Linked DNA regions of Bombyx mori. The protein of the gene in region 2 interacts with the protein of the main gene of each other region in a pairwise test. Links are inferred from orthologs where the notes say so. Each region holds a gene or a part of one and is shown on either strand. Other genes may lie near its edges.

Region 1 (3,288 bases), on a different chromosome or scaffold from region 2:
GGCCCACCTGGTGTTAAGATTTTACTATACTACTACTGCGTTTTTATAGTCTCTAGCCTGATGTTGCCTTTTCGTATATTTTTATAGCGTAAAATCGTGAAATATAAAACACACCGAGAATATAAACGTAGAAGCTTTTGAAATTCACATGGGTGCACAGAATGATGAAGATACTGTAGATTGATTGAATTCTTTAAAGTAAAATCTTGCAAATGACCACAAAAAGTGGGATTTGAAATACTGTCAAAAACGTATGTTTGGCATAATAATATGCGAAATTATAAATAGGATTTGCCCCTGCTGAGAATGAAAAAGAAAATCCAGGGGACGTGGCCACCCGGAGGAAGACGTTATGGCACAAGTATATCGTTACGTGTATGGACTATGGCTTTAAGATTTAATAAAAATAATAAATAAAAAATAATTTTTTTTAAGGGATCTTTCGACATGGTAACTAAGACCTTTAGGTCATAAATAAATGGTCTGTGCTTCGTAGCGACTAGAGCTACGCAGCACAAATCACTCCCTACGAAATGTGAGATTTTTTCAGTCTACGAGACTATTTCTAAACGAACTACTTTAATGATAGAATAGATGCATGAGAGTTTGTCGACTGAAATTAAGTAAAGTGGTGTCGTTTTTTGTTTTTTTTTCGTTTACCTTTGCTGATAGCATTGAGAGGCTATGTCAGCGTTATCTGACGAATTGGTTTCGACTTTTTTCTAGGATGATTCTATGTCCAACTAGATTAAGTACTTATGATTGTACAGATACGACGTTTCTGAAAATTTAATTAGGTTGGTGTATATAGATAAATTTGGCTCTCTTTATTATTTAAATCTTATCAGAAATACAGATCGAATCACGTGTAACTGAATTAAATAAACACAAAAAAATAGTTACATAAACATTTTGAAGATTCAAGTAGGATCAAAGATATTCAACGCAACACATTGTTGCACAACAAAGCACAATGTGCCTTATTGCGAAAGTATAGTGAAAAAGTTATTCTATTACTCATTACTCTTGGTCTCAGCACTGACTCAACAATTACCGCTCTCTCTATCCGCTTTCTTATGCATCTTTTTATTAATAACGTCGATAATTGAGGAATCCAACCTCACCGTGTACCCAGATAGTCTTAGCTATCCATATATATATTATTATTAAAAAAAAAAACCGCATTTAGAAGAAAGATGTGTTAGTAGTTTAGTTAGTCCTTATTAATCATTATAAAACTTGAGATTTTGATTTAAAAATATTTTAGGTTTCTAATTAATTAAAACACACCATTTTCGGATCGAGTTTTTAAAAAAATCGAGGGTTTTAAAAAAACATCGATAATCTAATGACAGCACATTCGATTTTCTCGATACTTTGTTAGGCTCTATTGAACTAAATAAGTTCAAACGGCCATTTTGTGCTTGACTGTCTATCAGAGCCCATCGTTCAACGTAAGTTTTAGAGTTAAATGAATTTAATATCCCAATTATTTTTAGTTTTAACTTTTTAGTTATGCAAGTGTTTTGTTTACTGAGAAGACTCAATTTAAGCGTCCATCGTCCAAAGGATCTCTTTTCAATTTTCAACCCCTCACCACGTGGTTTATGATGACACAATTTTTTTAATTCATTCGTGGTATCTACCATAGTGTTAGCACAGTGATGGCCTTTATGCGTCTGATAAATAGCTATTCTTTGTGTAAATTGTCTATAATTTAGTAATTATTAACAAGATAAACTATAAATTCCAGAATGGCGGACGCTGCTCCAGCCGGTGGACGTGGCGGTTTTCGCGGCGGATTCGGATCACGCGGTGGAGATAGAGGCCGTGGCGGTCCTCGTGGACGCGGTCGTGGTCGCGGCCGTGGTCGTGGGCGCGGCAAGGAAGACCAGAAAGAGTGGGTTCCTGTCACCAAACTCGGCCGTCTTGTTCGCGAAGGAAAAATCGACAAACTCGAGAGCATTTACTTGTTTTCTTTACCAATCAAAGAATTCGAGATCATTGATTTCTTCCTCGGCCCGTCCCTGAATGATGAGGTTCTTAAGATCATGCCTGTACAGAAACAAACACGTGCCGGACAGCGCACACGTTTCAAGGCATTTGTTGCCATTGGCGACAACAACGGTCATATTGGTTTGGGTGTGAAGTGCAGCAAGGAAGTCGCCACTGCCATTCGAGGCGCTATTATCCTTGCTAAGCTGTCAGTTCTACCAGTCCGAAGAGGTTACTGGGGTAACAAGATAGGAAAGCCACACACCGTCCCTTGCAAGGTAAATGCCACTTCTATATTTAAAAAAATATTTAAATTGTATAAATGATGATAACATTCTAATCATTTCATTCGTGGTATCCTCTTGAGGTTTATCCTGTGAAGCTTTTGAACGTCTGAATTAATTTAATTGTGAAATGAAAACATAAAATTGGTTTCGATCGTTTTAATAAATCAAACAAACAATTGTTTTTTCAGGTCACCGGCAAGTGTGGTTCCGTAACAGTCCGGCTGATTCCTGCCCCTCGTGGTACTGGTATTGTGTCTGCGCCAGTTCCTAAGAAGCTTCTTCAGATGGCTGGTGTACAGGATTGCTACACGTCAGCTCGTGGTTCAACTGGCACCTTGGGAAATTTTGCTAAAGCCACATACGCTGCCATTGCCAAGACATATGCCTACCTCACTCCTGACTTGTGGAGGGATATCCCGCTGACTAAGTCTCCATACTCAGAGTTCAAAGTCTAAGACAGTCATTGTATAACAACTGAATAAAAGAATTTGTCTTACTTTGTACTTTTATTGATTAATATTTTCTTTTTTCTATTTTGTTAGCACAGAGACATCTGCTGCTGGACATGTCTTGTGATTTTTATTGATTAATAAGCTTAAAAAGATATAAACTTCACTTGCAAACTATAAAATTAGCTTAAAACTATTTAATATATTGAAATAAATTAAATAAAGTACTAATAATAAGTACCCTAAAAAATAATAATGTCATTTTAGCTTTGAATTTCTTTCAAAGTTGAGTCTTCAAGATTTTTTTATTTATTAGCTTAGATGGGTCAACGAGCCCACCTGGTGTTAAGTGGTTACTGGAGCCCAGACATCTACGACGTAAATGCGCCACCCACCTTGAGATATAACTTCTAAGATCTCTGTATGGTTACAGCGGCTGCCCCACCCTTCAAAACACCGAAACGCATTACTACTTCATCACGGCAGAATTAGGCAGGGGAGTGGTACCTACTCGCGCGGACTCACAAGAGGTCCTACCACCAGTTAATACGCAAATT
Region 2 (4,098 bases):
AGTTTTCTCCAAAGCGAATACAAGTTCTTGGAAAATTTTAACAGCCGCTTTCATATTAGTTTCATGTTGGTTATTTTCGGCGACACTATCATCTAATAAACTGTATATTGTTGGTATTTCATCGATCTTCAAATTCTTTGCATTTGCTGACTTGAAAACAACAGACACTTTTCCAGTTTTCGGATGTATACTGAATGGAGACTTGAGCAAGTGATTGAAACCTTTTGTCACATTAACATCTAATCTGGGGTAGCAATATTGAATTTTTATTTCTTCTATAAGATATTTTATTTTTCGTATAACATTTCCATTCTACAAATTGAAAAACATGACAAAATAGAGTCATACATATATATGCATATTTTTTAGGACACAACTTCTAATATGTAGGTTAATCTTGAACTGTATCCTTGGAAAAAAATTTAAGCAGTTTAAAAAACAAATGCCAACGACTTTTCAATGAATTTCTAATTTTTAATGAAGTACCAAATTTTTCTTTATGTCAAAATTTTATTATTTTTTTACCTCTCTGCAATAATTTTCATAAATATTTATAAAAGTGTTCCACTTATTCAATGATGGTTCCTGCATTTTTTTCAAAGTTGTTTCAACCTGTGATTTTAACGCATCATCTGGTATCAACTTCAAAAATGAGTTTAGCTTATCTGTTGCTAAAAATTCCTGATCTTGTAATAATTGTTCAAAGTATTTGTCTATTATATTTAAGGCACGCCTGGAACAAGTATTTAAATATACTATTTTTAATTTATTTATTACTTACACTTCATGTATTTTATATATTAGTAAACTTAATGCCTAACTCATTCTCCTTACGAAAATGAATATCAGATCGAACATGAAACGTGTAAATATACAAGGGAATGCGTAACTTCCTCAAGGGAGTGTTATATAAGTTATGTGTAGTATAAAATTATAAAGTGTAAAAGTTTATTAGTGAAAATGATAAGGACAGCGGTATTAAAATTATAAGTTTGGGGGTGATGTCTTACTGTATACACTTGTAAAGTATATAAAGGTATGTATATAAAAGGGACTTTGTGTCAAATCTAGTCCTGATCTTGATATGTGACATTATATCAAGGTAACATTCTAAGCATTCTAAATTCTGATTAGCATGACCAATGTAAATTATTTTCACATGTAACCAATAATAATACAGTGTTACATCATAATCACTTTTCCCTTAGCCTTAGTAATGATTTTTACTGGTCAAAACTCTGGTAATGTGCTCCAGCAGCTTATGAAAGAAAATAATAGTATTTTCTTATTAATCTTCTTTGGATGGGTAGATCGACTCATAAAAGTAATTTTTAATTTTGCGAGAAGTAATTAACAAAATTATTATCAACAAAATTATGATCATCTATCATTTTCAAAAAATATTTATGTAAATCTCATGTAAGAATATCAAATTAAAAAAAAATGATATAACCTTATACTGGAATGTAAGTTTTCATTGCCAAGATGCACTTTTTTACTTTGGTTTTCACCACCTACGATTAAACAAAGGTAATCGGCAATAGCTCCTCGACCTGGACTATCGAGAGTTCTGGCTTCATAATCTGATACCCAACAGTGAATACCACGCCGACCTGAAAATACCCACAGGATGCTTTGGAACCCGAAGTCATCTGAAATTAGTAAGTCAAGGATGTGAATTTGAATTCAATCAATCATTTTGTCAATTATAAGAATCATGAATCACTTGTATCATGAAAATAATACTATAGATGTGGATAATTGAAGTCAAAATCCATTCACTAGTGGAAATATATAAGTAACTAACTACTACAGTGTAAATATGTTTTGGTTTTCTTTTTTTTTTCTATTGGCCCACAAACATCCTCTGCTGGACATATGGTTTTGTAGTTTTTTTTCGCCACCCCAAGTATGCATGAGATAGGTTACATTTTAATGAGTGTGGTGTGGTAAATAAATATAGAAATATAGAAGAATCTTTAATGGTCTGTAGCTCAGTAAAGTAAATCATGTATTTACCTTTTAAAGCTTTATCAATGATTTCACATGCAATAACCATAAATTTCCAGCATTTTTCACACACTCTAGCTTCTTGACAACATGTTCTTATTTCATCATAGTCTGTTAAATCTATATCGAATACTAGTTCTCGCGATATCACTACAGCGTCATGTCTTCCTACAGAAGGCCTTAAATAACGGAAGAATACCAAGTGACAATAAAAGAGTGTAATATTGCTTTTTAAATGCTAATAAATGAAATTTACTTTATTAAATATTCAAGCATGATATTTTAACTTCATACAAACTTTTAGACATAAAACATACTTTGTGTTGTAAACTGCTCCAACATCCAATTTGTGTGGACATTTCTTTTGAAGAAGGGTTTGTAAATCCTTTTGATGCGAAATCGACAAATAACGGAGGTAGACATCGTCAGCTAAAGTAAATGATAATTCTCTGTTACAGAGCGGTTGAGGCGAACTACCGCATGCTAGCCATCTACAGAATATATTTTGCGGAAATTGCCTGGCATAGTAAGTGGGTAGCATATCAGATAGAATGTTTTCATTGTGTTCGCCAATCTGTACAATTAAATTGATATTAATCAGAAGTTTAGTTTTTTATTTAGATCAGTTTGAATTTGAACTTACCATTTTTACCAAAACAACAACTCCTATAATGACATTTTTTTTAGGGATTTCATGACCTGATAACTAATACCTTTAAGTCATGTCTTATTTTAATTTATATTCTTATTTTTATGAAAAATGATAACCAATATGGAGTGAAATGAAATGAAATGAAGATGATTAATTTGAGACATTAATCAACTGGGATGAAATTAAATGAAATGAGATGAGATGATATCTCTCTATCTATAATCTCAGTCATTTTACTGAGATTATATTTCATTCCATACCATCTCATCTCATTTCATTTAATTTCATCCCAGTTGATTAATGTCTCAAATTAATCATCTTCATTTCATTTCACTCCTTAATATCATTTTTCATAAACATAAGAATATAAATTAAAATAAGACATGACTTAAAAGTCTTAGTTACCAAGTCATTAAATCCTTTAATAAAAACTAATTAGGAATCCGAGACCGAAAATTTGTAGAATCGATTAAATGAGTCGTCTATTAACAAAGGCGGCAATCTGTACATTTGGACAAAAAATTTTTATTGATATGTCAATACAGATTTATTTGAATATAATCGTCTCTTTCAAAGAATACGGTTCAAAACCTGCATTAAATAAAGGTTAATAGTTAACCTGTTATTTATCTAAGATGTCGTTCCGAAGAGTTTTGTGACTGCCAATGGAATACAAAGTCAATAATTCGTTTTTCTGATTTACCAATCATTGTCCAAAAGTCAGATTGCCGCCTTTGATAATAGTCGACTCAAATGTAAAAAAAATTTTTTAACCTACCCGTAAACATTTTTCAACTACCTACCCTAAATTTTATTCAGCTTTGTGTGTGAATTGAATCTTGATTTAGTTATTGATGTCAAAACTGCTGAAATTCTGACTACTAAAACAATATGGAAATTAATAAAGACACCGCTTTTTTAATAGTAGTAAAAATGTCATTTCGTAAGTAGGAACATTAAAAAATAACCGTAAACCCTAATTTAATAAGTAATGGATCTTTTAAAATACTTTTCACATGTGTTTGTGGTTTAAACCACCAACAGTATTTACTTTAATTTACGAAAATAATTATTCGTCTATATTTTCAGGTTCACTGCACAATTCGTATTGCAAGACTTCGGAAAAATTTCTTAATGCATCAAAGGTATTGATCGAATCGTTGCTAAGAAAGCCATTGGCAATGACTTTAATAGCAGCCTGGTTATTAAATTTACTGCTTATATCTACGTTTTTTTCTGTAACTGTTATTTTGATGACCTCAACTATATTTCTAGTAATTGTATTTTTAGAAGGTAAGTTACTATACTACTAATATTAGATACTGAATATTAAAGAATTAAAAAAAAAAATATTAAAATTTCAGACAAGGCTGTAATACTATTTAGAAAACTCTATAGCCTGCCTTAGAAAGATAGCCACATCATAAATATCACAC

Evidence for each region.
Region 1: the proteins of DNA primase small subunit (region 2) and RpS2e interact in a two-hybrid assay, tested with the Caenorhabditis elegans proteins (2 studies listed by BioGRID). The link is inferred for Bombyx mori from reciprocal best matches to the Caenorhabditis elegans genes pri-1 and rps-2.

Annotation. Positions count from the first base shown.
Region 1 is NC_085119.1:4,434,610-4,437,897, forward strand, and holds RpS2e (ribosomal protein S2), read left to right. Parts: upstream 1-1,428; 5' UTR 1,429-1,454; intron 1,455-1,753; 5' UTR 1,754-1,754; coding exon 1,755-2,273; intron 2,274-2,468; exon of another isoform or gene 2,469-2,470; coding exon 2,471-2,737; 3' UTR 2,738-2,778; downstream 2,779-3,288. UniProt on the Caenorhabditis elegans protein: Component of the ribosome, a large ribonucleoprotein complex responsible for the synthesis of proteins in the cell.
Region 2 is NC_085116.1:10,063,802-10,067,899, reverse strand, and holds the start of DNA primase small subunit, read right to left. Parts: upstream 2,811-4,098; 5' UTR 2,657-2,810; coding exon 2,654-2,656; intron 2,586-2,653; exon of another isoform or gene 2,585-2,585; coding exon 2,328-2,584; intron 2,190-2,327; coding exon 2,020-2,189; intron 1,653-2,019; coding exon 1,454-1,652; intron 734-1,453; coding exon 526-733; intron 313-525; coding exon 1-312. Other genes in the region: uncharacterized protein LOC101739672, read left to right, coding at 3,554-3,605, 3,752-3,955. UniProt on the Caenorhabditis elegans protein: DNA primase is the polymerase that synthesizes small RNA primers for the Okazaki fragments made during discontinuous DNA replication.